Oryctolagus cuniculus: one gene and its partners. The protein of the gene in region 5 interacts with the protein of the main gene of each other region in a pairwise test. Links are inferred from orthologs where the notes say so. Each region holds a gene or a part of one and is shown on either strand. Other genes may lie near its edges. The genes, in order: SMARCE1, BRMS1L, THRA, MYO5B, AMOTL2, MFAP1 and NFIL3.

Evidence for each region.
Region 1: the proteins of AMOTL2 (region 5) and SMARCE1 interact in binary tests that used the Homo sapiens proteins (3 or more experiments, as listed by UniProt). The two-hybrid records come from large-scale screens. The link is inferred for Oryctolagus cuniculus from reciprocal best matches to the Homo sapiens genes AMOTL2 and SMARCE1.
Region 2: the proteins of AMOTL2 (region 5) and BRMS1L interact in binary tests that used the Homo sapiens proteins (3 or more experiments, as listed by UniProt). The two-hybrid records come from large-scale screens. The link is inferred for Oryctolagus cuniculus from reciprocal best matches to the Homo sapiens genes AMOTL2 and BRMS1L.
Region 3: the proteins of AMOTL2 (region 5) and THRA interact in binary tests that used the Homo sapiens proteins (3 or more experiments, as listed by UniProt). The two-hybrid records come from large-scale screens. The link is inferred for Oryctolagus cuniculus from reciprocal best matches to the Homo sapiens genes AMOTL2 and THRA.
Region 4: the proteins of AMOTL2 (region 5) and MYO5B interact in binary tests that used the Homo sapiens proteins (3 or more experiments, as listed by UniProt). The two-hybrid records come from large-scale screens. The link is inferred for Oryctolagus cuniculus from reciprocal best matches to the Homo sapiens genes AMOTL2 and MYO5B.
Region 6: the proteins of AMOTL2 (region 5) and MFAP1 interact in binary tests that used the Homo sapiens proteins (3 or more experiments, as listed by UniProt). The two-hybrid records come from large-scale screens. The link is inferred for Oryctolagus cuniculus from reciprocal best matches to the Homo sapiens genes AMOTL2 and MFAP1.
Region 7: the proteins of AMOTL2 (region 5) and NFIL3 interact in binary tests that used the Homo sapiens proteins (3 or more experiments, as listed by UniProt). The two-hybrid records come from large-scale screens. The link is inferred for Oryctolagus cuniculus from reciprocal best matches to the Homo sapiens genes AMOTL2 and NFIL3.

Annotation. Positions count from the first base shown.
Region 1 is NC_091448.1:21,886,101-21,890,324, reverse strand, and holds the start of SMARCE1 (SWI/SNF-related matrix-associated actin-dependent regulator of chromatin subfamily E member 1), read right to left. Parts: upstream 3,034-4,224; 5' UTR 2,895-3,033; intron 1,199-2,894; 5' UTR 1,154-1,198; coding exon 1,147-1,153; intron 973-1,146; coding exon 929-972; intron 1-928. UniProt on the Homo sapiens protein: Involved in transcriptional activation and repression of select genes by chromatin remodeling (alteration of DNA-nucleosome topology).
Region 2 is NC_091443.1:39,765,143-39,769,641, reverse strand, and holds the start of BRMS1L (breast cancer metastasis-suppressor 1-like protein), read left to right. Parts: upstream 1-1,441; 5' UTR 1,442-1,867; coding exon 1,868-2,009; intron 2,010-4,499. UniProt on the Homo sapiens protein: Involved in the histone deacetylase (HDAC1)-dependent transcriptional repression activity. When overexpressed in lung cancer cell line that lacks p53/TP53 expression, inhibits cell growth.
Region 3 is NC_091448.1:22,356,056-22,359,829, reverse strand, and holds part of THRA (thyroid hormone receptor alpha), read left to right. Parts: intron 1-392; 5' UTR 393-696; coding exon 697-749; intron 750-3,328; coding exon 3,329-3,396; intron 3,397-3,774.
Region 4 is NC_091441.1:28,195,834-28,199,607, reverse strand, and holds part of MYO5B (unconventional myosin-Vb), read right to left. Parts: intron 3,044-3,774; coding exon 2,892-3,043; intron 1,399-2,891; coding exon 1,309-1,398; intron 1-1,308. UniProt on the Homo sapiens protein: May be involved in vesicular trafficking via its association with the CART complex. The CART complex is necessary for efficient transferrin receptor recycling but not for EGFR degradation.
Region 5 is NC_091435.1:147,068,621-147,072,394, forward strand, and holds part of AMOTL2 (angiomotin-like protein 2), read left to right. Parts: intron 1-789; coding exon 790-934; intron 935-1,229; coding exon 1,230-1,322; intron 1,323-1,487; exon of another isoform or gene 1,488-1,964; intron 1,965-3,224; exon of another isoform or gene 3,225-3,312; coding exon 3,313-3,608; intron 3,609-3,774. UniProt on the Homo sapiens protein: Regulates the translocation of phosphorylated SRC to peripheral cell-matrix adhesion sites. Required for proper architecture of actin filaments.
Region 6 is NC_091443.1:66,689,985-66,692,588, forward strand, and holds the end of MFAP1 (microfibrillar-associated protein 1), read right to left. Parts: intron 1,053-2,604; coding exon 963-1,052; intron 864-962; coding exon 681-863; downstream 1-680. UniProt on the Homo sapiens protein: Involved in pre-mRNA splicing as a component of the spliceosome.
Region 7 is NC_091432.1:139,817,413-139,821,913, reverse strand, and holds the start of NFIL3 (nuclear factor interleukin-3-regulated protein), read left to right. Parts: upstream 1-1,476; 5' UTR 1,477-1,615; intron 1,616-2,758; exon of another isoform or gene 2,759-3,178; intron 3,179-4,501.

The DNA of each region.
Region 1 (4,224 bases), on a different chromosome or scaffold from region 5:
TAAATGTAACTAAAACACACATCTGAGGGTTAAAAAAAATCCAGTGGAGAAAACAAAATCACCTAAGAACCTAATTAGCAGTGCAAAGTAGCCTGGCCTGCAATTTAGGTAGTAGGGTGTGAAGGAAGGGCTACCAGCTATTACAGAAGTGCTTCTGCAGAATATGGTCATGTTAACAGTGTTTTTTAAAACACAGACAACCCCCTCCCCCCTAAAAAACTCCACAAGGAAGCCATTTCAGGGAGGCCTAACAGTTGCTGTGGAATCTGTTTCATGGGTTGGGCAACTATTTTACATGCTGACCAAGCTGGGTCAGAGCTTGCTGGGTGAAGAAGCCGGTTCACCGCTATCAGGCAGATACTTTGAAACATTCTCAATTCCCAAGCCAATCAAATCTAATTACAGCGTGGAGTCAAATTTCATAGCAAAATCTGACCCACAGATAATGAAATCCTCACTTGAACAGCTTGAAAATAAAGATTTACAATGAGTGTAGTTATAGAAGTAGGAGCTTTGTTTGATTTAATATGGAAATTTTATATATAGAGACAAGAAAGGAGAGAAAAATGTAACCAGCTGAAGGTTAGGTTTAAAAAAAAAAAAGCCAGAATGAGCACTCACTCAATATCAACTTAAAGACTCTGAGAAAGAAGTGTTAAACTTGTTAACTATTTCCCATTAAGAAAAAAAAAAAATAAAACAAGTAAATTCAGCATAGGAGGTAGGAATTTCATAGTATGTTTCTTTAAATGTTGGGGCTGGTTCAAGATCAGAGGCAAAGAGTTATTTTATTTAGAAGGAAGTCTGTTTTTTAGCTGAATTTTCATCCTGTTACTGTGATGATTGAGTGACTGTCACTGGAAGACATCTGGGTTTTTGTATCAAGGCCAGACTCGGCTATTACATTAACAAGAAAATTAAAACTTACTGTTGCAGGAGCTGGGGTGGGAGGTGGGGCATAAGATGGTCTTTCTGTTTGAAAGAAAATAAATAACTTCTTGTAAACAACTGAGATATAATACTATGCAACAAAACTACCAATGGTCCTGTTTTGAAGAAAAAAATGAGAGTATTTTGGAATTCCCACTTGCTAGGGCATTAGTCTCTTATTAACATAGATTGATAAATATAAAAATTGAAACTTACTTGACATTTTGGAAGATTAAGTTCTCAGTTCCTTAAGAATGAATCTGAGACACTAAAATAAAAAAAAGGAAAAAAAGGAAAAAAAAAGAGAATCAAAACTCAGCAAGCATGAGAATGTTTCCCTAAAGAGGGCAGTTTGATTGGTACTTTTGAGTAAAACTACATTATCTCTCAGTACTCAAGCCTTGCGCGTATTTTACTAGTCCTTGTAGGTCATCTGGGTCATCAGAATTAAATGACTCGAGTAAGTTCCTGGGATATTTAAGTATCAGAAATATACTCTCAGGTTCTGTCCTAAGCTGCCCCACCTCTCGCACGGTGAACACTTGGTAATTGGGAAGGCAGTGGTCACACACTGTGCTGTGCCACCTGTCCACACCAACAAGGCCTGCTGGATGCTGCCAGCGCCCGGTCAGTTCCACCTGGCTTCTGGTCTAGCAACCTCTGTTCGAACAGGGCAGCTCTGTATTCCCGAAGGCAGCGGAAAAGGTAACAGGTATACTAAATGCGTTTCACATTCTTTTAAAGCGGCAGATAGCTTCGGACTCGCTGGAAATACATTGAATTCACTGTTCCCTCATCTGCACTCCCATGCAGAGCTAGGATACTGCTTACTGTAGCTTTTCAAAACATCTGCCAATATGGCTGGACTGGGTGCTGCTCTCGTCACCGTATCCCAGTCTCTAGTGCGATTCCTGATAGACGTTGTCCTAGGGTTCCCTGCTCACAGTAGGGCCAGAGCTTGTCCTTCACATCAACAGTCCCGAGGGGTTTAAAAAAAAAATCCGTGTTTTGGAAAGAAGACAAACTCCTATCCTGGAGCGCCTTCATCCAGCCTCACGGGAGATAAGCAGGAGCTACCTGCAGCACCAGGGTGCAGGTCGGAGCCCAGGGTGCTTTCCCCCTCTGCCTTTAAAGCCCGGCGGGAACCTCTGACTTTGTTGCAAATTTCCTTGCTGCTCAGCCGGCGAGCTGTCAGCATCCAGGAGGCCTTGCGGTGTGGAGCCCTGACGGGACAGCCAGCAGCTCCCTGCACTGGGCGCTTCACGCTAAGATACACTCACAGACACTGCTCGCCCCCGGCGGAACGCAGGCTCTCAGAGCGGGCCAGGGCCCCTGTGCACCCCCTGACGCCCTCCCTGCGGCCTGGCCCTACACAGACGCTCGGCAAGCATTTGTGGAATAAGGCAGGACAGGCTTAGGAGAGCAACCCTGCTGTCCCATTTTACAGATCAGAAAGGGGAGTCTTGCAGACTTCAAAGTAACTCTTCGAAACCACGCCGCTAGGAAGCGGCAGGAGCTGGGGTCCGCACCCAGGCCAAGTCCGCTCACGCCAAGCCGGCCCCGCGGGTCCTCGGGGCCAGGGCCCCGGGCCGGGGGTCCCTTCCGGGGCTGAGGGCCCTGGGCTCGCCTCGCCCCTCAGGGCTGCCTCGGAGGTCGCTTCCTCCACGCCTGCCGCGGGGGATGCACTTTACCAGTAATTCCCCCAAACCGGGGTATGCGTGGGCGCCCTGACCGGGTTCGGGGTGGCCGGAAGGGGCCATCCTGCCCCTGAGGAGGGCCCCCCGTGAGGACTCCCTCCCCACGCGCGCTCCGCTAGGCCTCAAGGAGGCCTCACCGGCTCTCGGCTCCGGCCCCGCAGCCAAGCCTGACCCCCAGCAACCCCCGGGGACCCGGGGTCCCGCCGAACGGAGGCACCGCGACCTGCCACCCTCCAGACCAGGTCGGACCCACTAGGAAACACTCACCCGCGGGCAGAAAAAGCGCCCGCAGCTCCGGCTTCGCTTCCCTTTGTCCCGCGCACGCCCCGCCCCTCACGTCCGGAGCTTCCGCGCTCGCACTTTCCACACTTTTTCTCAATTTCTTCTCAGGCCCCACCGACTGTCTTCGGAAAAAAAATAAACCCGCTCCCGAGGACGCGGCGACGCTTAGTACAGCCAAGGATTTTTTTCCAGGCCCCGTACGTTCCACAAAGCTCCTTGGATTTGGATGCTTTCCCAGTCGGGCGCCGATTCGTCACGGCGAGGAAGGCGGAGGTGGCCCGATCGCGATAGGCCCGGTTCCCGCGGCGGTGAGGGGTCCGAGCGGCGGCGGCGGCGGGAGGTGCCGAGCCCTGCCCGAGGGCGTGGTGGCGAGGCCCGCGGCCTCGGCTTCCGCGCGTGAGGCCGGGAGACGCAGGAGCCGCTGCAGGGGGAGGCCGCGCGCGCCTCGGGCTCCGGCCGCGGCCGCCCCCGCGGGACCCCCGGCGCCGGGTCTCCCGCTTCCCCTCGCGTCGCTGGGCGGCAGGACGAGTGTTCCCCGTGCTTCTCAGAGCGGACGACGCGGGCGCGGAGGACTCGGCCTGGAGGGAAGCAGCACGGGCTTTGGCTGGCCACAGGTTTCCGAGCGAGGGCCCTGGTGTGGCCTTGCAGCGCCGAGGGTGCCTGCTGCTGGGCTCTGCCCCAGATCCGCCTTCGCCGGCTGCGTAGACTCCTGTGCCGTTTGGGATGCAGCTCAGCCGTGCCCTCGGGAGGCCCTCTTGCAGTGCCCCCCCCCCCCCCCCCAACAATCCTTCCCTTGTACCCCCAGGCCTTTCCATCTGGCCCTTAGGAAGGTGTGTCAGCTTTGCAGTGCCGGTCACCGCTGAGGGTCTGGAGCCCAGCTCGATGCCCGTGACATGGGCACCGCGGCAGCCCTCTGGCCTGCTCCAGCCAGGGCCCTTACCCCCCAAGTCGTTGGGGCTCTTTGCTCACCGTCTGGAGTGAGTGGCCCCTTCCTGGGCTGTGAACACCCTTGGGTACTGTCGTAGGCCCCTGGTGGGAGAATGAACAAATGGACACCCCCCGAATGGTACTCACTTGGGCACGGGGTGGGCCTTATTCTTAGCCGCCCTTAGCGCCCCTCTGGGACGAGCCAGCAGGAACAGGGGCCTATGGGGGCGTCCCTGCAGAGCTGGGGACAGCTGATACCGGGGCTTCCCCTGCGAATAGGAGAGAGTGCAATTCAGGAGCCTAATGGGGGAGCGCCTGAAGGGAGAGGGGCTTGAGGGGCGGCTGTGGAATTGCTTTTCCAATATGAAAGCATTAAAGGATGGGAGGA
Region 2 (4,499 bases), on a different chromosome or scaffold from region 5:
TGTGGCCTTTTGGGGAGTGAACCAGCAGATGGAAGACTCTCTCTTTGTCTCTGCCTCTCTAACTCTGCCTTTCAACTAATAAATAAATCTTTTTTAAAAAGTGACTTTAAGAAAAAAAGAGGAGGAGGAAGAGGGTTGCAGAGGGATTAGAATGTGCAAAATGAGAAACAGCTGGTGTGTTTGGAAATGTAAGGAATTCAGTTTGGGAGCTATCATGAAAAGGGGAGAAGAAAGCCCATGCTTCATCAAGTCCCTTGATCTGGATTTACTTTGGAGCAGGTAGATTGCTCTTGAAATGTTTCCTGTCACTAAATTACAAATCGAATGCAGTTACATCTGGATACTCTTACCATCCTCTATCAAATGTTGGGATCTGGCTTTTGAGAAATAGATGCTGGGGCAGGCATTTGACCTAGTGGCTAAGATGCTGTATTGCATGCCTACATTCCATGCTGGAGTGCCTGGGTTCTGGTCCCAGCTCTGCTTCCACTCGGCTTTCTGCTAATGTTCATCCTGGGAGGCAGCAGGTAACTCCTCAAGAAGTTGGGTCCCTGCTATCTACACAGGACAGCTGGATTGAGTTCGTGGCACATCGCTTCAGCTTAGCCTAGCCCCAGCTGTTGTGGGCATTTGTAGAGTGAACCACAGAATGGCAGTCACACACCCGCCTCCCTTTCTCTCTCTCCGTCCCCTTCTCAAATAAAATAAAATTTAAAAAAGAAGAAATGCTGCATGAAATATATTTCCATAGCAAATTGTCGTGTCAACAAGAAGTCCCTTCTTTATAATGGGTAAAATATAGTTTTAAGTTTTGTCTGCAAATGAAATTTCCCTCCCTGCAAAATGAAGATAATAATGGCACCTGCTTAGGACTCTTGAACTGATATCTAAATTCAAGGTAGCCCATGCAACAGGCTTACCAAGACATTTGATGCAGAATAAAAATGGTCAATTAATTTGAGTTGTGATTGTGGAACTGAGTCTTCCTTGTCTGTGTACCCTATCCTTGAGAATATATAACATCTCATTGGGTCACATACGTAGTTTTCGTTGAAAAGTGAAGTTAAATCAATACCAGTGGCATCTTCCAACGGCATTTGGTAAAAAATAAATGGAAAAATACTAGATTGAGAATGCCAAGCCAAAATTTCTTTCTGTATTATCAATTGCAAAAGTTTCAAGAACAATTTTAAAGATGTTTGTGCAACACAGAAAGTGCAAGTTACCTTGCATAGTTAACTATTCAATGTAACGCTTTCTTAGTCGTAATAAAGACTCCTAGAAGAGGCGGTTCTCTGTTCTGCAGCTCAAAGAGCAGGCAAAGAGCCCTACAGGCAAAAAACTCTTTCATATCTGCCAGCAACGTCTTGGATAGCCAGGGTGGTCAGACACTCACTTGGCGGGAAAAGCACACATACAGACCAAATTCGCACAATCTGTTTCGGGTTAGTTTATAAATTGCGATCAAGGGTGCCAGCGTTCGTGCCTTGTGGGATTTGAAGTCCAGAAAGAAGAAGGGATCCGGGCTGTCGAAGCTTGGAAGTCGGCAGCCCCTGCAGGTCTCCGCTCTGAGGACTACAACTCCCGACACGCACCGCAAGGCCGCGCTGTAATTACCAGCAACCAATCGTGCCCCAGCAGGGCAAACCCCGCCCCCGCCTTGGAGCTCGGCCTCCGCCAATGGCAGAGCTCCCAGGGCTGAGCCTGCGGGTTAGGTTGTGAGGCCCGGGCCGGGGGCGGGGAGGAGCCGAGGGGGTTCAGAGCAAGCTCGGCCGCTGGGTGGGTCCGGGCGTTCGGCGCGCCCTTCACTGAAGCGGCGGTGGCCGGGCTGGGCGCCGCGAGTGGGAAGCGACGGCGCGGCTGGAAAATGCCGGTGCATTCCCGGGGGGATAAGAAGGAGACGAACCATCACGATGAGATGGAGGTGGACTACGCCGAGAACGAGGGGAGCAGCTCCGAGGACGAGGACACCGAGAGCTCGTCGGTCTCGGAGGATGGCGATAGCTCAGGTGCGCGACCCAGCAAGGCTGGGACCCTGAGTCCCCGGCCGGGCGCGCGACAGGCCGCGCTCCGCACGCCGGGCAGCCGCGTCCTGCTGGGAGAGCGGGGCGGGGAGAGAGGGAAGGGGCGGAGACTGGCTCCCGGCCCAGGGCTGCACCCAGACCGACCGGTCGCCCAGCGCTGCCTGCTCCAGGGAGGGTCCCGGCCAGCGGGGCGGGGCGGGCCTGGGCTTGCCCAGCCCCGGAGCTCGGCCCCCGAGCAGCCCCGGTGGGAGCCGCCCTAGACACCTCCCGGCGGTGCCCTGGGGTCTCGCCCGGGTGGGAGGCAGCCCACCGACCTCTCTCCTTACCCTTACCTTTGCAACTCCTACTTCTCAACGTGGGTGGATTGTGGGGGTCCAGGGTGGACCCCAGGTGCTCCTGGCCGGCTTGGAACGGGTTAACCCCCTGTCAGTCTGCGCTTCCCACCAAGTGCCCTTGCAGGGGGCTAACTCGGGAGCTGTCCCGTTTGCAGAATGCCCCTGAAGTTTTCAAGGCTGAGAAGAAGGGAACACCATCGGGGTGGTTTGGATCTTCATCTGTTTATGAATTGGCTGGTTTGGGGGGCAGCATTGAAATGCTCCCAATCTTTTCTTCCCTCCCCCTTTTCCCGACTTTGGGCTGTTTCACTTTTGGGGGTAACGGTGGGGGAGGTGGTGATGGCAGGGCTTGAGGGTGGGAAGAGAGGGGAGGAGAGGGCAGATTAACCCCATCAATAAATTCTGCAAACTTTCGGGAATGGCTACTCAAAAAAGAGAGGGAATCTGTGACTACCTGGACTCTTTTCCTTCTGTCCCCGTTACGGGGATGAGACTGGTTTCTTTGTCTTGGCCTGATTTGGACCGCATAAAGGAAGCGCTGATGACAGCTTGACAGTCCATCATCGCCCTAACGCCCCCTTTCACGTGTCCCTTTCAAAGCAAATCTCCATGGAAGGGTGTCATTTCGATTAATAAATCACCCAATCCCAAAATAAATATTTATGAGTGACTTCTTTGTGTAGCACCGGGCACAGCTCAGTCTGAGGTCTAACTAGTTCTGATCTCTCTCAATCAAAGAGCTGTCTTAAGTTACCGCTTGATTAAGTTGCTAAGTGAGTGCTTAGCTAAACTGCTGTAGGAATCGAGACGAAGAGGAAATCTTTTCAGAATTGATGGCCAGCAAAGGCAGGTTGAAGCAGATGGGGTTATCCTGAAGAATGAGTAGGATTTGTACTGCTGTGGTAACGTTCAGGTGCTCCTGGAGGGCAAGGAATGTAAGAAAAAGTGCAAAGGCCAGAGCTTACGCTTACTCAAGAGTGAGGAAACCATTTGGTATGGGAGAAGGCTGAGCTAAGAAACTCAAAAGAAAGGACAAAACAGGATTGATGAGTGCACGTTTAGGAGTGAAGCGAAGAGAAAACCCAAGATACCAAGAGAATGGTGATAGCATCAGTGGACAGAGAGAAGTAAAAATGTGAGATGAAGATCAAAGAGAAGGTATTTCCGTTGTGTTGCTTTTAAGTAGGAGTGTGTATTCAACCAAGAATGCCCAGCTGGCAGATGGGAATGTGGCCTTGGAATCTGCCTGGGGTGGGAGGAATAATTGGAAGATCATGTGCCTGGCCATTGATGTAGGTGAGATTTCAAAGTGGGGAACAGAGAGAAAGAAGGATCAGGACTGTATGTAAATATATTTCCTAGATCTGTAAAGCATCAGCTTCAAGTATTCTTAGCTTTTTTAACGAGAGCTGAGATGTCAAATAATTACCTCTCTATTTTTTATTACTTTATTTTTTTAAAGATTTATTTATTTATTTGAAAGTCAGAGTTACACAGAGAGAGAAGGAAAGCAGAGAAAGAGAGAGAGAGGTCTTCGATCCGCTGGTTCACTCCCCAGTTGGCCACAAAGGCTGGAGTTGGGCCCATTCGAAGCCAGGAGCCGGGAGTTTCTTCCGGGTCTCCCACGCGGGTGCAGGGGCCCAAAGACTTGGGCCATCTTTCACTGCTTTCCCAGGCCACAGCAGAGAGCTGGATCAGAAGTGGAGCAGCTGGGACTCAAACTAGCACCCATATGGAATGCCAGCACTGCCCGTGGTGGCTTAACTCGCTACGCCACAGCGCCAGCCCCTCTCTCTCTCTATTTTTAAAGATTTATTTTACTTGAGAGGCAGAGTTACAGACAGAGAGAGGGAGAGGCAGAGAGAAAGGTCTTCCATCTGCTGGTTTACTCCTCAAATGGCTGCAAGGGCCAGAGCTGCGCCCATCTGAAGCAAGGAGCCAGGAGCTTCTTCTCCCATGCTAGTTTAGGGCCCAAGTCCTTGGACCATCTTCCAGTGCTTTCCCAGGCACACTAGCAGGGAGCTGACTGGGAAGTGGAGCAGCCGGGACTCGAACTGGAGCCCATATGGAATGTCTGCACTGCAAGTTGAGGCTTATCCTACTGCGCCACAAAGCTGGCCCCAGCTCTATTTGTTAATAT
Region 3 (3,774 bases), on a different chromosome or scaffold from region 5:
CCCTCATGCCTGTGCTGGGACCTGCCCACCTCTGTCTCCTCCCCTGCCATGGTGCTGATGGGTTTTCAGAGGACTTAGCTAATGTTTAACGGGCACATGTTAGCGGCTGGGCATCAGTTTGGCTGTGAGAGCTGAGTCGTGCTGCCTGGTACCTGGATGGCTTTGTCTTTCCCTTCATCCTTCCCCTGTGTGGGGCTGAGGATGTGGGTATCCAGTCTTGCCTGCTGTGCCTGTACTAGAGGAGTAACCCTGTTCCTTGTCCCACACCTACCCTCCATGTCCACTGTCGCTTTATTATAGTCCCCCGGAGCCCCAGATGTGGCCACCAAAGGGATTCTCCCCACCCTTCTACCATGGCACCTCCTTACCTGGCCTCTCTCCTCTCTCTGCAGGGATCCGCGGACAGGACGAGACTCTGAAGTTACTCTCCCAGCACCTACCCCCAGGACCACCCCCCCAAGGACCCAGCTTGCCCTCAACCCTCCCACCTGCCACTCCCTGGCCCCTCCCACCGCCCGCCCCCCTTGGGGTGCAGGGCATGGTGTGAAAGGCCAAGTGCTGAGCGGGTACCATGGGTGCTGTGCCCTAGGGCCTGGGTGGCGGGGGGTGGGCGGCCTGTGGGCGTGTTGGGGGGGCCAGCGTGCCCACCCCAGTCTCTTGGCGTGCTGGAGGGCATCCTGGATGGAATTGAAGTGAATGGAACAGAAGCCAAGCAAGGTGGAGTGTGGGTCAGACCCAGAGGAGAACAGGTAACGAATCTGGCGACGAGTTTGCACCAGCTCTTACGCGTCGATCTTGGGCGAAAGAGCTCTGTGTTGAGTGGCTCTGGGGGATGGGGCACAAAGACAGCAGGCCTGCTATCCACCTTCGTCCTAGAGCCCAGGGAACGCTCAGAGGTGGCAGGGAACCAGGCACTCGAATTGAGAGATACCCATCTTGCAGGGGCCGGTGGTAGAGACCTGAGTAATTACAGGCAGAGGAGGGCACACGGCACTTCCCTGGGTGGTGCTGGGCAGCCTGAGGTGCCCCCAGAGGCCCCTCTGTCATTGCCACCCTCACCTGAGCACGTGGGATCCAAACGGCCTTGCTGTGTCCCTCCTCTCCTCTCTGGCAGCCCGGGCCCCACCTGGTCACTTACAAGTGCCTTGTCCACAGGCTGTGGTGCTCGTAACATGACATTTCAGGCCCATGCACCGGTAACTATTGGTCACAGCCTATGCTGAGATTTGGAATCTGTTGGGAGCCCCACAAGCTCTTCCTTGTTCATGGTCAAAGGCGGACACTGCCGTGGAGCTCCTCCCAGGAAGTGGAAATGCATGCCAGCTGTGAAGGTTTTGCTTACACATGGGTGAGGCATGGCGCTGTATGCACACTAGGGACAGGTTACCTGTGATCTGCGCTGCCCTTGAGAAACCCAGAGGGTCTCTGCCTCTGCCATTGGATCCAAGTGGCACAGAGCTCTGTCCCAGTTGGCATGGAACCCCGGGAGCTGGGTACAGGCTGTGCCTATGGCCAGGGAGAGAGTGGGGGTGGGGTGCTCTGGGGAGCAGTGTGGCTGGCTGTTGCCTAGGAGATCAGATCCCGAGCCAGGAGGCTGGAGGCCTGGCCAGGCAAAGCCCTGGGGCCCAACACTGGGTCCCTGGAGGGCTGGAGGAAGTGGATGGGGCTCGAAATGGGGTAGGCACCAGGGTAACCACCCCCAAAGCCTCACCCCAACCGGGACTCTGAGGATCCGGCCTGTTGCTACGTGGCTGTCACTTGCATCCGCTGTAGCTCCCCGTCCAGGCTAATGTGGATCTGGAGAGTCTGCCCCTAAACCTTGGACAAAGGCGAGAGTGCCTTTTCTCAGTCCCTTAGGACTGCAGCCCCTCCCCCAGTATCCTCCCCTCCCCCATGTCCCTGCGCCACCTTGTGGTTGTTCCTGGGACTGCACCCAGAGGCTGGGAGTCTTGTAAACTGCTGAAGGCGCGGGCTGCACTGGGGCCTAGGAGGCCTCAGGTGCCCTGCACCCACCCCTCAGAGGAGGCGGGAGGGAGACCTGACCCTCCAGCCTTGTCGGAACCAGACAGGGTAATCCCCAGGGGGTGTGGAGCACGGGGCTGTCTGTGACTGTGACCCTGGCCAAGGTCACTATGTCAGTGTGTTGGGAACTGCGTCTGGCTCCAGGAGGAGGGGCCCTGCACTTGCCACATGCAGGATGGGAGAGGGAGGTTATACAACCCTCGCATGCACGGAGAGGGCTTATGTAAGCCGTGTGTGATGAGGTTATGTAACATGTATGGAGAGCCTGGTGACATGTATGTGCAGGGACTGAAGGTGGCTGAGAATCCCTGGCATGAAGAGGCTCAGGGTCCTTGCCCTGCCTGTGTCTCCTGTGTGCTGTGTCACCAGGCACAAGTGGGGCTTTGGTTCAGGCCTGTGTTAAATGGAGGCCGTACACAGGGTGACTGTCGTTGTCATTTGCCACTGTGGGTTACTAAGCATGCAATCCTGACCTGGATGTCCACACTGCAGAGAGAGAGAGCGGTGTTAGCAGGTGCCTGTCCAGAGAGTTGTGTAACATGTGGGCATATCCTAGAGGTCATATAACACATCTGAGAATGCCCTGGAAGTGGCATAGATGGTGGTGTATCGTACTTGGGTTTATTCTGAAGGCTGCAAAGCTATTAATATGAACGCTGGTGTCATATTGCATACATGTGCATGTGCATGTGTATGTGTGTGTTCTGAAGGTTAAGCTTATCCTGTGGATTATTTTGGCACAGTTGTCATCCACGGAAGGCTTGGATCTGTGGTGGTCCTGTTCTGTGGATTGTGGGTGCTTCATATCTACAGTGTGGTTGTAGATGTGGATGTGTGTGCCCGTACTGTGTTCATGTGTGTGCTGTATATTCATGTGTGTGTGCCTGTGTGGGTATGTGTGTGTGTTGTATGTGTGTGGGTATGTGTGTGTTGTATGTGTGGGGGTATGTGTGTGTTGTGTGTGGGGGGGTATGTGTGTGTTGTGGGGGGGTATGTGTGTGTTGTGTGTGTGGGTATGTGTGTGTTGTATGTGTGTGGGTATGTGTGTGTGTGTGTTGTATCCGTGTGGATGTGTACCTTGGGGCCCTGGAACATGCTTGTGCCCAGCCAAGGCCCTTATCTCTCTCCCCTGCAGCTTTCAGATAGCTAAAGGCTTCTAAGCCTTGTCAGCTGACCTGGGGGTGGGAGGTGGAATGAGGACACAAGGTGGAGGGAGTCGGGCCTGGGGGACTCTAGGAACCTCACGGGTGAGGAGGGGGCTGCCCAAAGACCGCTCCGTGATTCTGTCCACTTTGCCCCCATCTAGTGCCAGGTCACCAGATGGAAAGCGAAAAAGAAAGAACGGCCAATGTTCCCTGAAAACCAGCATGTCAGGTGAGCCTGGCTGTGTGTGCCCCCTCTTCCTGCCCCAACCCCCGCCAGGTCTCCCTCTGACCCATGACAGGTGCCTATGGAGGGCTGGAGGTGGGTTTGTCTGGAGTGAGAGGGGTGATGAGGGCATGACCCGGGCTTTGAGGATGGATTAAGTCAGGAAGTGCCTCTTCCCTTCTTTCCCAAGCTGCTTTCCCGAGCTGCCGCCATCCATTTTCCACGTCCATCTTCCCCCACCCATTAGCTGTGAGCGAGCAGTCAGCACTGAGCTGCTGTGTCTTCTCAGGGGGTGGACACGATGTCCAGTGACCTGTCCCCAGGATTCCACCTGGAGACAGCGAGCCCTGCAGGGAGGCAGGGCTGTGCCACAGGCCAGAAAGG
Region 4 (3,774 bases), on a different chromosome or scaffold from region 5:
GATTCATATGACCAATGTCCTTTGTATTCAGGCTAAGGGGAGCCACGGGTCACGTACGACCCATGCTCTCAAAAGGGTGGCCCTAGCAAAGCTCTTGTCCTGTGTCACATCCCGAAAGTCTTCCTGAAAACACACACGGATGGAAGAGGGCAGAAGTGTGAGTGCTCAGACTGGTTCCTTCGTTCCTCGTCGGCAGACTACGTTGAGCCAGTCACGCTGTGGGTTCAAGTCTCGTCCCTGAGAACCCGAGCTCACGTGAGGACAGCCTAAGAGAAGGAGCTCTTGGTCCTGCTCTGGCCTTAACGTATTTCCCCTCCGCCCCATTCAGAACCTCTCTCAGCAGGTGGAGCGGTGAGCCTCAGTGCCACGTGGCACGTGCAGTTCTGAACTTGCAAAGCTTGTGTACGATGTGACGTCACAGAGGCCTCTGGTTTGAAACCAAGGACAGTTCTGTGCCCTGCAGCCCACCCCCCCCTTCCATTGTAAAAGCAAGTGAGCCCACAGAATTTCCACCTCCCGGCAGAGACGGAGCGCGGCCATGTCCCAGAGGTAGGACCGGCCGGGGTGGCACAGCCCTGTGTCATCCCAGGGCGGAGAACCTGTCAGAATCTGTCCTGGCACAAGAGGTGGAAAAAAGCTTTCAAAACCATTGCACGACTTTGGCTGACGCTGCCTTGCGAAGGGTGGGCGGCAAGGTTTGGGCAAGGAAGGGAAGAACGGAAAGGCCGAGGGACGCCCAGGGATGTGGGAGTGGGCCGGTGTGGAGGCAGCTGGGACGCTTCAAAGTGTGGCACGGGTAACCAGGTCACGGGCTGAACACAGCACGGAGGAGCTCTCCTGGGGCCTGGAGGTCAAATGGCATGGAGCGTGAAAAGAGGCGCGCAGGCCCAGCCATCAGGTGTGGTTGGGAGCATAAAGCCGGACTTCTGGGTCAGTCTGTACAACTGTCCTGGCCACTGGGTGCTCTTCCCCTGTGGCCATCTTTGTCCATCTTGAAATAGGCATTTACGGAAACGGCTGTCCTAAGGTGGCTTCAGCAGGACAAGGTCACCCGGGCCCTCTGAGGATGGACGGGCTCAGCAAGCTCACTCCCCTCTCTTACCACTGACTTGGTTCAGGCGTCCTCAGCAGGGGCCCTCGAGCAGGTCTCCTACGTCCTGCCTCATTCCCTCTTCCAGTCTCCAGGCATGGTTAGTGCTGCCCACCGCCTGAGGCCCCAGCAGGTGCCCCTTCCTGAGGACGCACAGTGCCTTGGAACTCATCGGGACGGAGCCAGGATGCCTCCCGGGAACTCAGCCGCTCACTCACCTCGTCCCCGCTGTACTGCTTCAAACAGTGGAGCAGGCGGCAGGTGTTGGATAACCAGAAGGTCGTCATCTCAAAGTCGTCATTGTGCTTCTGGGGGAAGAAGAGGACACCCCCAGCTCTGAGTGGTCCTGTCTGCTGAAATGCCTACTCGGGCCTCTTCCCACATCCTGCACCCCATCCAGCACTCCACGGAAGCCCTGATGCAGGCAGGGCCCCTGCTGGTCCCCAAGAGGAGACCCACTGCCAAGAGATTGCAGGGGTGGCACCCGGAACCCCTTTCCTGGTCGCCAGCCGGGGGTGCACACACAGGAACACACATGCAACAGACCGACCGCTTCCCATGGCTGAAGCATGCAGAGTGAAGTGACGGCGATGAGACTGGACCCTGCTCTAACCACTGGGGCTCCCTGCCCTGGTCAGAACTGCCTGTTTTCCAACTCAGGGGACGGGAGGGCATGTGCCAGTGAAATAATTTGGGGTCCCATTTACCCAGAGGCCAGCTGTCCAGTGGCTTCCACTCTAGAAAATGGCTACAAACCATAACTAAGGTGGGGGGAGCCATCAACAACCCCGAGAGCGGTTTCTTGACTGAAACCCCCGACTTCAGGGTGCTCGGTCGGGCAGAGACGCATTGGCACCGATTCAAGGGCAGAGCACGGATGAGCTGTGATGATGCGACAGGAGTTGAGTACAAAGGGCCCAGTGGGGCTGGGGCCTGCTAACTGGGCTCAGGATCAGGGAAGGCCGCCCTGGGGAGGTGACATCAGCAGTCAGTCCAAGCCAGGCCCAGACTGACCGAGACCCCGCCTGCTGTTCCTGAAAGAGGTCAAGGCCGAGACACAGGTCTGAGAGTCTCCAGAATGTGGAGCCACGAGCGGATACAACTGCCTGTGGAACCCAGCTCCCTGCTGATGTCTGTGGGAAAGCAGACCTGGGTGAAGCTCCTGGCTTCGGCCTGGCCATTGAGGCCATTTGGGGGAGTGAACCAGTGGATGGAAAATCTCTAACACTGCCTTTCAAATATTTTTTTTAAAAGAAACAGAGAAAACAGCAGTGACAGTGGAGCCCTGGGCTGCTAGGAGACACAACATCCTCTCCCTCTCCCCTACTTGGCCCTGGCCCCTTGCGGACAGGACTCACCTCCCTGCAAGCTACTCTGCTCCCACCGGGGCCGCCACTCCGGCCGTGAAGAGCCTCGTGCGTTTCCGAGCTGCCTCGACAGCCTGTGGGCAGCCCCGTCCTGGCCCAGCTGCCTCACTGCGGCCCCTGAGGAACGCCAGCAGCACTGCCCAGGGGACAGGTGAAGGGGGCTGGGCTCCAGCTGGGGCTTCACCAGGACCAGGCCCCCCCAGCCCTTGGCTGTAGCAGGACGTCTCCCCAGCTTGTGCAGCAGCGGGCAGGCCCAAGCATGGCAGGCACTGGGCAGCCCTGGAGGGCTGCTCCGGATTTCTGGCTTCCTGCCTCATTGAGTCCGAGCCTCCTGGCTTCCCAGGTGCCTCACTCGCCACCCCGAAACCCAGACACAGAGAAGCAGCAGTGGGGGGATGGCCGCGCTGAGCCCAGCTTTCTGCAGGGGCACTGACCTTGAGGACTTTCTTGATGCCGTTGATGGTGGAGGTCAGCAGGGAGTGCACCTTGAGGTCGTCGTTGGTGTAGTCCGCGTGCCGGATGCACATGTAGAGGATGTAGGCGGGGAGGCAGGGCACGGTGCCCAGCAGTGTCTGTGGCTTCAGGTCTGCCAGCAAGGACAGCAGCAAACGGCCAGGGTTAGACAGGGGAGGGGGCGACACCCGGGGCTCGGAGCCCTCCTCCCAGAACTACTCCTGGCAGCTCGTCTAGGAACAAGAGGGTTGGGAGGGAAGCTGGGGAGAAGCCGCCAGCTACACAAACGCCCTCCGGCCCCAACGGCCAGCGCTTTCGGACGCTGCAGCAGAAAACCAAGATGAAACCACGTGGCTCAGGGCTCGCCCTGCACCACTGAAACAGGCCCCGACGCCTCCTTCTTACTGTGAAGGAAGAGCCCAGAGCTACGCGCAGACACAGGGGCCCTAGCCCCCAGGAGGCCAGAGGCAGGCTGCAGACAGGACAGGGCTCCCCAACCTGGCGAGAACCCTCGACTCCTGGGGACCACCGCTCCCTGCAGCAGAATGTAGGGGCTGGCCCCAGGAGAACTGGGCAAATCCTGTGTTCCCAAAGAGAAAGCCAGTCGGCCACGCACAGGGAAGGCTGGGGCCACCTTTGGCTGTCACTTTAGGGACAGATTACCTGGCGACGCTGGCCCTGAATCCTCCCAGGCAGACGGGTGGAGCAGGTCACAGCCACCCCCGCCCTCCCCCAGCTGCTGTCCCCTGCAACCCACGCCCCTACTCCTGGGCCAGGGCTGCTCTGGCAAGACCCGCAGACACAAGCTCGGTCCGCTGTCCCCTCTCTGCTAAAGCCTCGGGAGGGCCAGGGAGAAGCTGTCAC
Region 5 (3,774 bases):
GCTGCGGAGCAGCCCTGGGGCGGGAGCAGTTGCCTGGCCCGTGGTGCTGAGAAAGAGCCCATTCAGGGCCCCTGCACACGCGCACCCTGGGCCTGCACCCCCCCTCCCGCAGACACCTCCCACAGAGAGCCCTTTGTGTCCCCCACACAACAGCCTGTCTGTTCCAAGCCAGCCCTGGCCAAAGAGAAAAACCCCTCCTCGTGGAAAAAAAAAAAATTGAGCGACTTGTTAGGCAGCAGGCTGGCCAGGAGCACGTGCGGGAGCTGCCTGCGGCCAAGTGGGAGGGACAGCTTATGGGTTGGAGGGGGGCGGGGCTGGCTCTCTGCGCTCAGCCCCGTGCTGGGGTCCCTTCCTTGGTGAAAAGTGACCAGTGGTATGCAGATGGCCTCAGGCCTCGATGAGTGGCCTGTTAGTGGCAGATAGGTCAAAGCACCTGAACATGGCAGAAGTCTGTGCCCACTGCTGGCCCGCATGCTCGGCCTTCCCGACAGAAACCAGCAGGAGTAAAATGCTTCTTTCTGAATGGTGAGCATAGCAAAGTTTGTGTTTGGTCACTCTGGGTCCCGGAGTCCTGGCCCTGGGGTCACTCAGCATCTGGTCCTTAGGACAGCCGAGCTGAGGTGCCCAGCAGTCCCAGTGCACCGTGGAGGCCAGCAGCTTCTGACCTTCCCACGGTAGCCCCCTGGAGCTTTGGCTCCCGTCCCCTTCTGTGATGGAGAGCAGCGACTGGCCGGGGTCGCGCCCTTGGCGCTCTCACTTCCCTTCAGCTCTGCTGTCTACCTCTCGTAGCTGGAAAGCGAGATCCAGCGGCTGTCCGAGGCCCACGAGAGCCTGACCAGGGCCTCCTCCAAGCGGGAGGCCCTGGAGAAGACCATGCGGAACAAGATGGACAGCGAAATGAGGAGGCTGCAGGACTTCAACCGGGACCTCAGAGGTGACAGCCAGTTGGGGAGCACCTGTGGAGGGCTTGGTTCATGTTCCCTGGGGGGAAAAATATCAGTGCACCTCGACTCGGAGGAGCCCAGGTCTCGTAGACAGAGGCTTGTCTGTTCTGTACCTTGGGGTCCCTCATGGAGCTCCGACCGCGTGGCCCAGGTCGCTCATCGGGCCCTGAGTGGAACCAGGGGCATCCCAATGAGCTCAGCCCTAGCTTAGACGATGCAGACCCCAGGGAAAACACCGACAAGCAGCTCCCTGTGACTAAAACATCTCTCCTTCGTTGCAAACAGAGAGGCTGGAATCTGCAAACCGCCGTCTGGCGAGCAGGACCCAGGAGGCCCAGGCCGGCAGTCAGGACATGGTGGCCAAGCTGCTTGCTCAGAGTAAGTAAGGGTCCCGCAAAGAGGAAGCCGGGTCGACTTGCAGGCAGTGGCAGCACCGCTGCTGCTCGCGGCAGTGCTGGGGGTGCTGTTTACCAAATGGTACCCACCTGCAGGCCCGGGACTGCATGTGTAGGGGGTTGGGCTGGCTTTCGAGGAAGACAAAGATCAGGTTCTATATTTATTGGGAAGGTGAACAGAGCTGGGGGACAGTGTTTGTGAGAGCTGTGTTGGTCAGCAACAGAGGGGCACCGGGCAGAGGGAGGCGGACAGCCCTGCAGGAGGAAGCTGAGAGTTGGCCAGGGAATTTCAGGTAACAGTAAGTGTGCAGGGAAGGGAGGAGCCTGTGGACCACGAGGCGGCCAGGTGGGGGCACCTGAGACAGTCCAGGTGCTTCACCAACAGGTGCAGTCTGAAGAAGAGCTTCTAGAGGCTTCTCAGAAGGGGAAGTCCAGCACCCCCTGCAAGGCAGATGAGCTCAGTAACTAGTCCCTTCATTCATTCAGTCATTCCTCCATGTGTTCGCTTGCAGATCTGTGCCAAGCACCAGGCAAGTGTTTAGCAGAGGAGTGGGAGCAGCCCCAGGAAGTGGCTGGGAGGTTCAGGGGAGACTGGTGGGCTGTGGAGGGAGCAGGTTCCCAAGGCCTGAAGGGAACAAGAACGCTGATGGGCGGGTGCTGATGAGGGAGTCCCCAGTGGCCTGAGAGCAGCCCTGGTGATGGGCATGGTGAACTGGCCACAAGTGAGGAGGCATTGGGTGCAATGCGGATGGCCCAGCTCGTGGGAAGTTCCAGGGTTTGAGGACAGAGTGGGCTGGCAATGGCTGCTGTCCACCAGGAGAGCTGCTATGTGTGGCACAGACCACAGGGGTCATGTCCAGTGGATAAGCAGCCCGAGAATGGAGCTCTGGACAGGGCCCTCAGAGAGGGTTTCAAGCCCAAAGCAGGGAACGGGACAGGGGAACAGCGCTGAAGCCACTGGGCAGGACAGTGCTGGATGAGGGTGGGCTGGGGCGGCCATGGCTGTGGGGGACTCTGGCAGGGGGACCCCTGGGAGGTTGAGGGGGAGGGAAGGGGCCTAGGAGTCTGGAGAGGTCTGGCTGCTGGGGGAGCTGAGGACTTTGGGGGGCCTGGCCCTGCAGCAGAAAGGAAGTCCTGGGGCGGGTTTCTGGGCGGCTGCTTGGGGAGGGAGGGGGAGCCATCCAGCCGGCCTGGGAGGCGTTTCCGCTCCCTGGGGAGCGAGCCAGCCAGAGCCGGGCTGTTCTTGGCTCCTGGCTGGAGCCATTAATCTGGCAGCTGTGGGTGACCCGGATGCCTGGCATTCCAGAGCCGGCTGTTCCGCTCCCAGCCGCTCCCCCCGCTGCTGCGGCCTGGCGCCCTGCTCTATGCCGCTGCCCAGGCTTTGGGAGGGGACAGGGCGACACAAGGGAGGCTGGGACGCTGGGCAGGGGGGCCTGTGGGCCCTTCTCCCCCTCGCAGGAACCGCACCCCACTGCTAGGCCCTGGCTGCTCTGTCAGGGTCCCGCTGGCTGGGGATGACCAAGGCCCGAGCCTCCCAGCCCCCAGCAGAGCCTTAGAGGTTGTACAGGGCAGCCCTAAGCAGCCATTCCTTGCTGCAGGAGCCACCCCGGAGGGCTGCAGAATTCTCAGTGCAGATGTCTCTGGTCAGCCTCTTTTTTTTTTTTTTTTTTTTCAAAGATCCTGAGCAAGCCAAGAGCTGGCCTGGGTTGGCTCCTGCCCCAGTCCCCTGAGTCAATGCATCCTCTCTTCCACACGCCAGGGATCCAAGCCATCAGCCTCCCATCCCAGAACTCATCGTCCTAGGCAGGCCCTTGGCCACACGTGGCCCGAAAGCTCAAACTAAGGAGAACCAAGTCCAATCAAAGCTTCAGAGGGTTCCTCCTACCTCCTAGGGTTGCTGTGAGGATGAGAAGCAATTGTGCTCATCCAGTCGGGGAGGTCGCCATCACTGACCCGGCCACGTCTCCCTGCAGGCTACGAGCAGCAGCAGGAGCAGGAGAAGGTGGAGCGGGAGACAGCGCTGCTGCGCAGCGCCGTTGAGGACCAGCGGCGGCGCGCGGAGCTGCTGGAGCAGGCCCTGAGCAACGCGCAGGCGCGGGCGGCCCGCGCCGAGGAGGAGCTGCGCAAGAAGCAGGCATACGTGGAGAAGGTGGAGCGGCTGCAGCAGGCGCTCGGGCAGCTGCAGGCGGCCTGCGAGAAGCGCGAGCAGCTGGAGCTGCGGCTGCGCACGCGCCTGGAGCAGGAACTCAAGGTGTTGCGCGCACAGCAGGTGAGCGGACGCCTGCATGCAGGTAGCAGAGCAAGGGCGGGCATCCGAGGATGCCGGATGCCGGGGTGTGGTGTTCCGGGCCTGGTTCCTGAGGTTTCCGGGAAACCTTTGCTGCATGGTCACTCCCACTCACCAGTGTTAGCCAAGGCTCTGCCACGTGGTCCTA
Region 6 (2,604 bases), on a different chromosome or scaffold from region 5:
AAAACATTTGTATTTTTATACATGGAATAAACGTGTTCCATTGAAAGTATCAGTTTCTGAGAACAAAGGGGATGGTTAAAATATGAAACATCCTCTGTTGAATTCCCTGCTTTTACTTATTAGGTAGTTAATATAAGCCTGTGTATTCTGTGTTTGCATCATGATAAAAATCGGTGTGTGACTTTTTATTTGACACACATCAATGGATCAAGAATTACATTCACTTAGAAAAAACTGACTCCAATTAAAAATGGAAAACATTTCAATGAGCTTAGATTTCCTGCTATGTTACTCCCAACACTAAGGTAGAAGAAAGGCATTGTCCACTCCACTCACATGCTCATGTTTCTGACCCAAGCTAAGGGTCTGGAAAAAGAATCTCAGAACAACAGTCCCAAGTAAATATGGGAAACCACAGCAGTGATGAAACCCGAGATTTCTCAGAAATAGTTTCAAATGGGAAGGCTCCAGTACCCACATAGTGCTTTTCTGTGGGATTCTCAGCATGAGTCCAGACCTCAAAAAGCACCTTCAAAGACAGGACTACCTGTTATCACAAGTATGGTAGAAGGTCCAATAGCCTGGATATGCGGGCCATATAAATAATGGGAAAAGCAAACTGAAGACCAGATGCTAAGACTTGTTGTGTCCCATAGGTGGAAGAATTATGTAGTTGAACCCTAAGTAGTTTTCCGTTTCTTGGCAGACGGTCGCTCAAATACATCCCGTACCCCAGCTGCCTTCTGTTTGAAGAACTTGGTGTTCTGGGCACTTTCTTGACCCCATGCTGAATCAAAGGAGGTGGTATCTTGATCCACAAGGTGGGTGTATTTGGTACGGCCAGAGCGTCCAAAGTTCTTGACCTGAGAAGGATGAATGATGAGTTACACGTAACACCAAACATACTACACCTCTGTCCTCAATATATGATCTTTCTCTTATGTTACTAAGGTTCCCCATACCTGCATGACTTTAGGAAGAATGGTTTTGTTGAAATGATCCTCCAGGGTAGGTGCACTGAAATCTCTCTTGTATACTTCTTCATCCTCGTCCTGCAGAAATGAATATAATCAGTTATTTTAGTTCTATTCCCTTTTATTCAAGCCAGAGTTAATATAACAAAGGTTACAGAGATTATTGAGTCATTCTTCAAGGGCTTACACGAGTTACTATAATCTGTGTGCTCATTTACGCACATGCCTTCAACTATGAACAAGCCTCTCAACTCTGAATTTTCTACTGCCTTTTATATTATTTTAACAGATATTCCATTGGGTCTTAACTCATATCTAACTGCATAGGTGGATTTAGCTGGATAGGAAGCACAGAATAGCTGGCTGGGACTGGAATCTGATAAGGGATGTAAGAGCCCCAGGCATGGGTTAACTTACCATGCCACAATGCCCACCGTTGATTTAACTTCTTTGTAAGTAGGCCCAACATTCTCTTAGTTAACATAGTTTCAAAACTGGAGTAATCTTGTGTATATTCAATCAGTTGCCACATCTCATAAACTCTTATCACGTAGTTTTTTTCCCTACCATTAATGTTTCTAGAATACAATTCTTTTTTTTTTTTTTTTTTTTTTTTGACAGGCAGAGTGGACAGTGAGAGAGAGAGACAGAAAGAAAGGTCTTCCTTTACCGGTGGTTCACCCTCTAATGGCCGCTGTGGCCGGCGAACCGCGCTGATCCAATGGCAGGAGCCAGGTACTTCTCCTGGTCTCCCATAGGGTGCAGGGCCCAAGCACCTGGGCCATCCTCCACTGCACTCCCTGGCCACAGCAGAGAGCTGGTGTGGAAGAGGGGCAACCGGGACAGAATCCAGTGCCCCGACCGGGACTAGAACCCGGTGTGCCAGCGCCACAAGGCGGAGGATTAGCCTAATGAGTCACGGTGCCGGCCTAGAATACAATTCTAATTATGTATCTGCCTTGCTCAAAAACATCAATGGTTCTGTAGTAGGTAAGGCCAAATATAAGCCTTAATCTGTTTAGTTCTTTTTGCCACTTCCTTTTATAGCTGATACTTTTCTGCCTCCCCTCCTGCTGGAATGTCTTAACACTGAAAAGTCAAGTCAATCATCTGAAGTGTTACCTTTATACATGTCATTGTTTTCAATCAACCAAATACAACATCTCCCTCTTTAGAAACTGCCAGAGTACCTTCAGTAGACTTAGACCTACTTTTAGATTGTGAGCCTTTTGAGGGGAGGATTTTATATTCTTTGGTAGTGCATAAAAGGATACTTAATGAAACATAGCGAATAGTTTTGAACCAATGTGTCAGATTACAATGCTGTGGCAGAGATTACACACATACATGCTAGAGGTAATAAAAACAGCATCATCTTGGTTTAGGAAGGACCAGTTTTAAAGACAGGACTATTAACAGTTTTTGTGAGATCTTTTCTACTGTGGACTTGAAAGTCCTTCATTTAATCCTAGAAGCCATTTCAATTTTACTCTCCTGGTCCAGAGTTAATATTTGAGTACGTGTACCAAAAGACTGACTTCATATAAACTTTACCTATGTATTTTAGTCAGTAATACACTGGTTCTCTAAGAAGCATGGTTATAAAAGCTATTGAAATGATGAAATAAAG
Region 7 (4,501 bases), on a different chromosome or scaffold from region 5:
CCACAGGCATTGGAAACGTCACGCCAGGTGCCCACGAGGTGTGCGGTGTTAGCGCGCCGGACGGCCCGGGCTTTCGGCCGCCGGTCTGCACGCCCCTCTGTGTCTCCAAACGCAGGGGAAGAAAACGGAGCCGCGGGACGCTCAGCCCAGCCTGCACGCAGCCCGAGCGACAGGGGCGGGCCGCCCCACCCGCCACATGCCCTGTTTGGACGAGCGTGCGCGCCATAGCCAGGAACATGGCTCCCTCGGCCCAGGCCGGCACGCCCCTCCACCCGAGACCCCGACACGCGCACGGGGCTGTGCTTGCTGCGCACCTCCCCAACCTCACACGCAATGATTTCACAACTCGCGGCTGGGAGCGCTCCCCCGCATTTATTTACGTCTCCCCAGGGAAACCCCAGAATTTGAGGGAGAAGGCGACCGCATCCGACTAGGGGCAGAAATGACACCAAAGGGCTACCGGCCCCTGATCGCCAGAAGCGACCCTGCGCGGTCGGCTCAAGCTCCAGCGCCCAACGCCAATGGGCGTCCCAGTGCGGCCAGTTCCCCCCGGAGAAAGCCGCGGCCGCCTCTCCGCGTGGCCCGGGGACTGAGGGGGGCCCCCACGACCCTCGTCCCCCAGTTGCGTGACGCAACAACTTCACAGCAGACCTCATCGTGCAAGGGGAGGTGTTGGCGCGTGCAGCGTAGCCTGCGTGCCCGGGGCCGTCTCCAGGACGCGCGGGGTATTTGAGTCTCTGCTTCTCCCGGAGCAGCTCTGCCCCGCCGCCGCCCCAACCCCTTCCCCGCCGCGGCACCCCCGAGGGCCCGCAGCTTCCCGGCCGCCACCCGCCGCCTTTCCGGCCTCCCGCCAGCTCCACCGCGCAAGGGTCGCTCCTCTCCGCAGTGTTGCGGGAAGGCAAGGCCGAGGTCGCTGCCACGCCTCGCCCGGTGCTCGGTCGGCAACAGGTAGCCCGGCCGGCGCCGCCGCCGCCGCCGCTGGGGGAGACAAAAAGCGCATCTGCGAGCAACGAGGGTCGCGGGGAGCCCGGAGCCACCACGGCAAGGCCAGGCCCGGGGGTCCCGGGCTCCTCCTCCCCAGGCTCCTCCGCGCCGCGCTGGCTGCGCCGGCCGTTGCGCAACCCGGAGCGGGGCGCAGGGCGCAGGGCGCGGGTCCTGGCGGACGCCGGCTCGGGCGGCGGCGGTGTCCGAGGCCGGGGAGGGACGCGCACTGGTGGCGGCGCCGCGGCGGAGTGCAGAGGGGGCGGGGCCGCGGAGAGCCCGCCCCCCCGGCCCGCCCCTGCCGGCCGCGGCCATTGGCGGCGGGCCGGGGGCGGGTGCGGGCGCGGCGATTGGGGCTGCGGCCGCCCGTCACGGCGGGGCTGGCGGGCGGCGACGTAGCGCGGCGCTCGGAACTGACCTACTAACACACATCTCTCGGCGCGGCCACGGCGCCCGCGGACCCGGCGCGCCCGCCCGCCTCCCGCGCCGCGCCCTCTCCGCCGCCGCCCGCCGCCCGCCGCGGCCCCGGAGGCCCGGCCCGGAGCCGCGAGCCCCGGCGCCGCCAGCCCGGCTCCCGATCTCCCCTTTCTTTCTCCTCGCCGCCCCGGTGCGCCGGCCCGGGAGCAGGAACACGGTAAGCGCTCCGCCCACCGCCGGCCGGGGGGCCCCGCGCCCGCTCCCCGCCCGCTCCCGGGGCGCGCGGCCGGGCTGGCGCGGGGCGTGGGGGTGCGGGCCGAAGGGTGCGCGGGGCTCGCCGGCGGCGGCGAGCGTGCGCGGGCCGCTCGTTACATAAACTTTTGCTGCCTCGGTCGGGATGGGACTCCCGCCCGAAGGTGGCTGCTTTGATTGCAGCGCGCTGGCGCCGCCGGCACGTAGTCCTGCCTGGGGTGCGCTCTCTGCCGCGGTTGCATAACGTCTCCCGATTTCGGGAAAATTGCTGTTTTGGTGGGGAAGCGGCGCCGGGGTGGTTGCGCCCCCCCCCCCCCCGCCCTGCGAGCGGGAAGGTGCGCCCTGGTCTCCGGCGCCTGGCCCCTCCGCGGGGCCGGGGGCGGAGAGGACAGGGCTGAGGAACGGGGAGCAGTCTGGCTCTGCGTGTTGGGGACGCGCGCTGGGAGCGCGAGCGGTGACGGCATCCGGAGAATGCCTGTGTCAGGCGCTGTGTGTGCCCAGACGTCTCCCAGCCCGTGTGTCGTCAGCGTGTTTTACAAGCCCTCGGGAAGGTTGTGGGATTTGTCCTCGCGTGCGTTGCGTAATCTGCCCACGGCGCAGCGCCGGCAGGGTGGTGGGGAGCTGCGCGCGTGTGCGTGTGCCGCGGTGTGGTCGCGGTCGCGCGGCGCTGAGCCCCGGGGCGCTGTTTACATCCACGCGAGGTGTCCCCCACGGCCCTGCGGAACGTCGGAGGCAGCTGGGGCTTGGATTCGGGGCTCGGGGTCCCCCCCCCCCGAGAGATTCCGAGCCGTTGTTTTGAAATCTGGGGCGAATGCATTGTGACGTCTGCCTCCCCCTACCCACCCCCCTGATCCAAAGAAATGCGCTGCCTCTTAGTAGCCCCCGTTCGCCCGGGGTCGCCGCGGCTGTTTCCGACGCGACAAGACAGCGCACATAATAGTTTCCTGGAAATGTTGCATTATGTAACTGCCGGATTTGCTGGCATCGAGCGTAGAAAGAGGGAGCTAATTACGCGATTTTATAATCTCGCTACAAAGAAACTAGGGCAATCTCAGCCTGGAAAAATGTCACTGTAACAGTTCTTTTTTTTTTTTTTTTTTCCCTCAAGGATATTTTCAACAGGAAAGTCGACAGCCCTATAAGCGCCGAGTCTGCGCAGCAGGCGGCCGAATGCGTGTCTTTTTTGCCCTAAATGAAATGTGCGTTCTTCTAAATTTAGCGCCATCGCGTTTGAACAATTGCGGCCTCGCGGAGCTATTCCTGGTGTTTTCTCCGGGGCTGCGTGCACATCCAAGTTCAAGGCCGCCTGCTGTAGTTTCACGGCGCACGCCCTCGGAGACCTTTGATAAGGCTGTATTTTTAGGAAGGCATTTCGCTGCGCCTCCCTCTAGCTGGAGGACACTTGGGGAGCCGCCGGCCCCCGGCCCCGGCGTTCGTAAATACCACCAGCTAAGGAGGTCAGAAGTGTGTGTTTCCCGTCGTGTGCTCGCCCCCCCGGCCGGATGTGATTTATGGGGAACAGATATAGGTTAGTGGATTGTGTTTCTGTCCGGATACCCTAGTTTCACTTGGGCGCTGAGCACGCAGAGCGCCCTGGAGTCCCCACCTAGTGCCATTGCGAGTGCCTCTATGCATGTGCCAGTGTGTCCATGAGCAGGTTTACACACACGCACACCCACTGAACATTTAAATAATTAAAGCGCGTGGTTATTTGTAAGGGGTAGTGGGGCCTTATTATAGCGATTCGCAGCCGGAACACGTTACGTTGTCCCAATCACAACTGCGGTGGCTCTCGGAGAAGCTGGCGGCTCGCTTTAGTCCTCTCGCCCACCCCCCACGCCCACCTCCCCACGCCCACCCCCCAGCCTCCAGCCCGGGTGAGAGCCCTGGCCTCTAGGGGCCGCGTGGCGCCACCTTCCGACCGCGTCCTCGCGTGGCGCGTCCCGGCGCCCCTCCCTCCGCCCCGCGGGGGTCTTCGGGCAGCCGAGGCTACCGACGCCGGCCCCGCGGGGCTCCCCTGGTGCGGGTGAGCGGGCGGGGACGGCGGCTCGAGACCGGGAAGCGTCTCTGGGCGGCGGCCGAACGGGGACCGCTCGGTGGCCGGCGCGCCTCCCCGCCCCCTCCCCACATTCCTTTGTTCTGGCGCGGGGGGTCCTCACGGCGCCGAGGCCCCGCTGCGCCGCCCACCCGGCGGGAGGCGGGTCTCGGGGAGGCGCGGCGTGCCGGTGTGCTCGCGGGTAGCCCAGGCCGCGGGCGCGGGGGCGCGGAGGGGCCGCCCGGGCGTCTCGGCGACGCGCTTCCCGGGGGGCAGACGCGCAGGCCTGATGCACGCGTGTGGCACGGCGAGGTTCCGAGACCCGCGCACACCTTTGTTCCCCAAGGTCCTCGGTGCGTTTCAGGGCCAGCACGTCCCCATTCCTGGAGCCGAGAGGACCCTAGGGAACACGCAGAGACCGCAGAGGGTGGGGGGTGGGGTGCTCCGGGATTTGTGGGGCTGGAAGGGCAGCCTCGGTTTGGCAGTGGCCACTGGAGCTGAATGGGGGGGGGGGGGGAGGTGGACATGGTGGTTCCTTTTTTTTTTTTTTAAACCTTCTGTTTCTATGGGCAAAGGATAGTTCAGAATAAAACCAAATCGGAACACCCATGGAGACGCTCCTGTAACAACTGCAGTGGAGTACTTTGGTGCCAGGGGTAACAGCGCATGGCTGGCAAGTGGCTCTCCGTGGAGGACCGGCTGAGGCTGGGCCCACACCCTTGGGACCTTGGCCGAGACCCTCTCCCAGAGACCTCAGGAAGGTTGGGGGAAATGCACTTAAAAGATAAGTTTGTTGAACTTTAAAATCCACGCGTA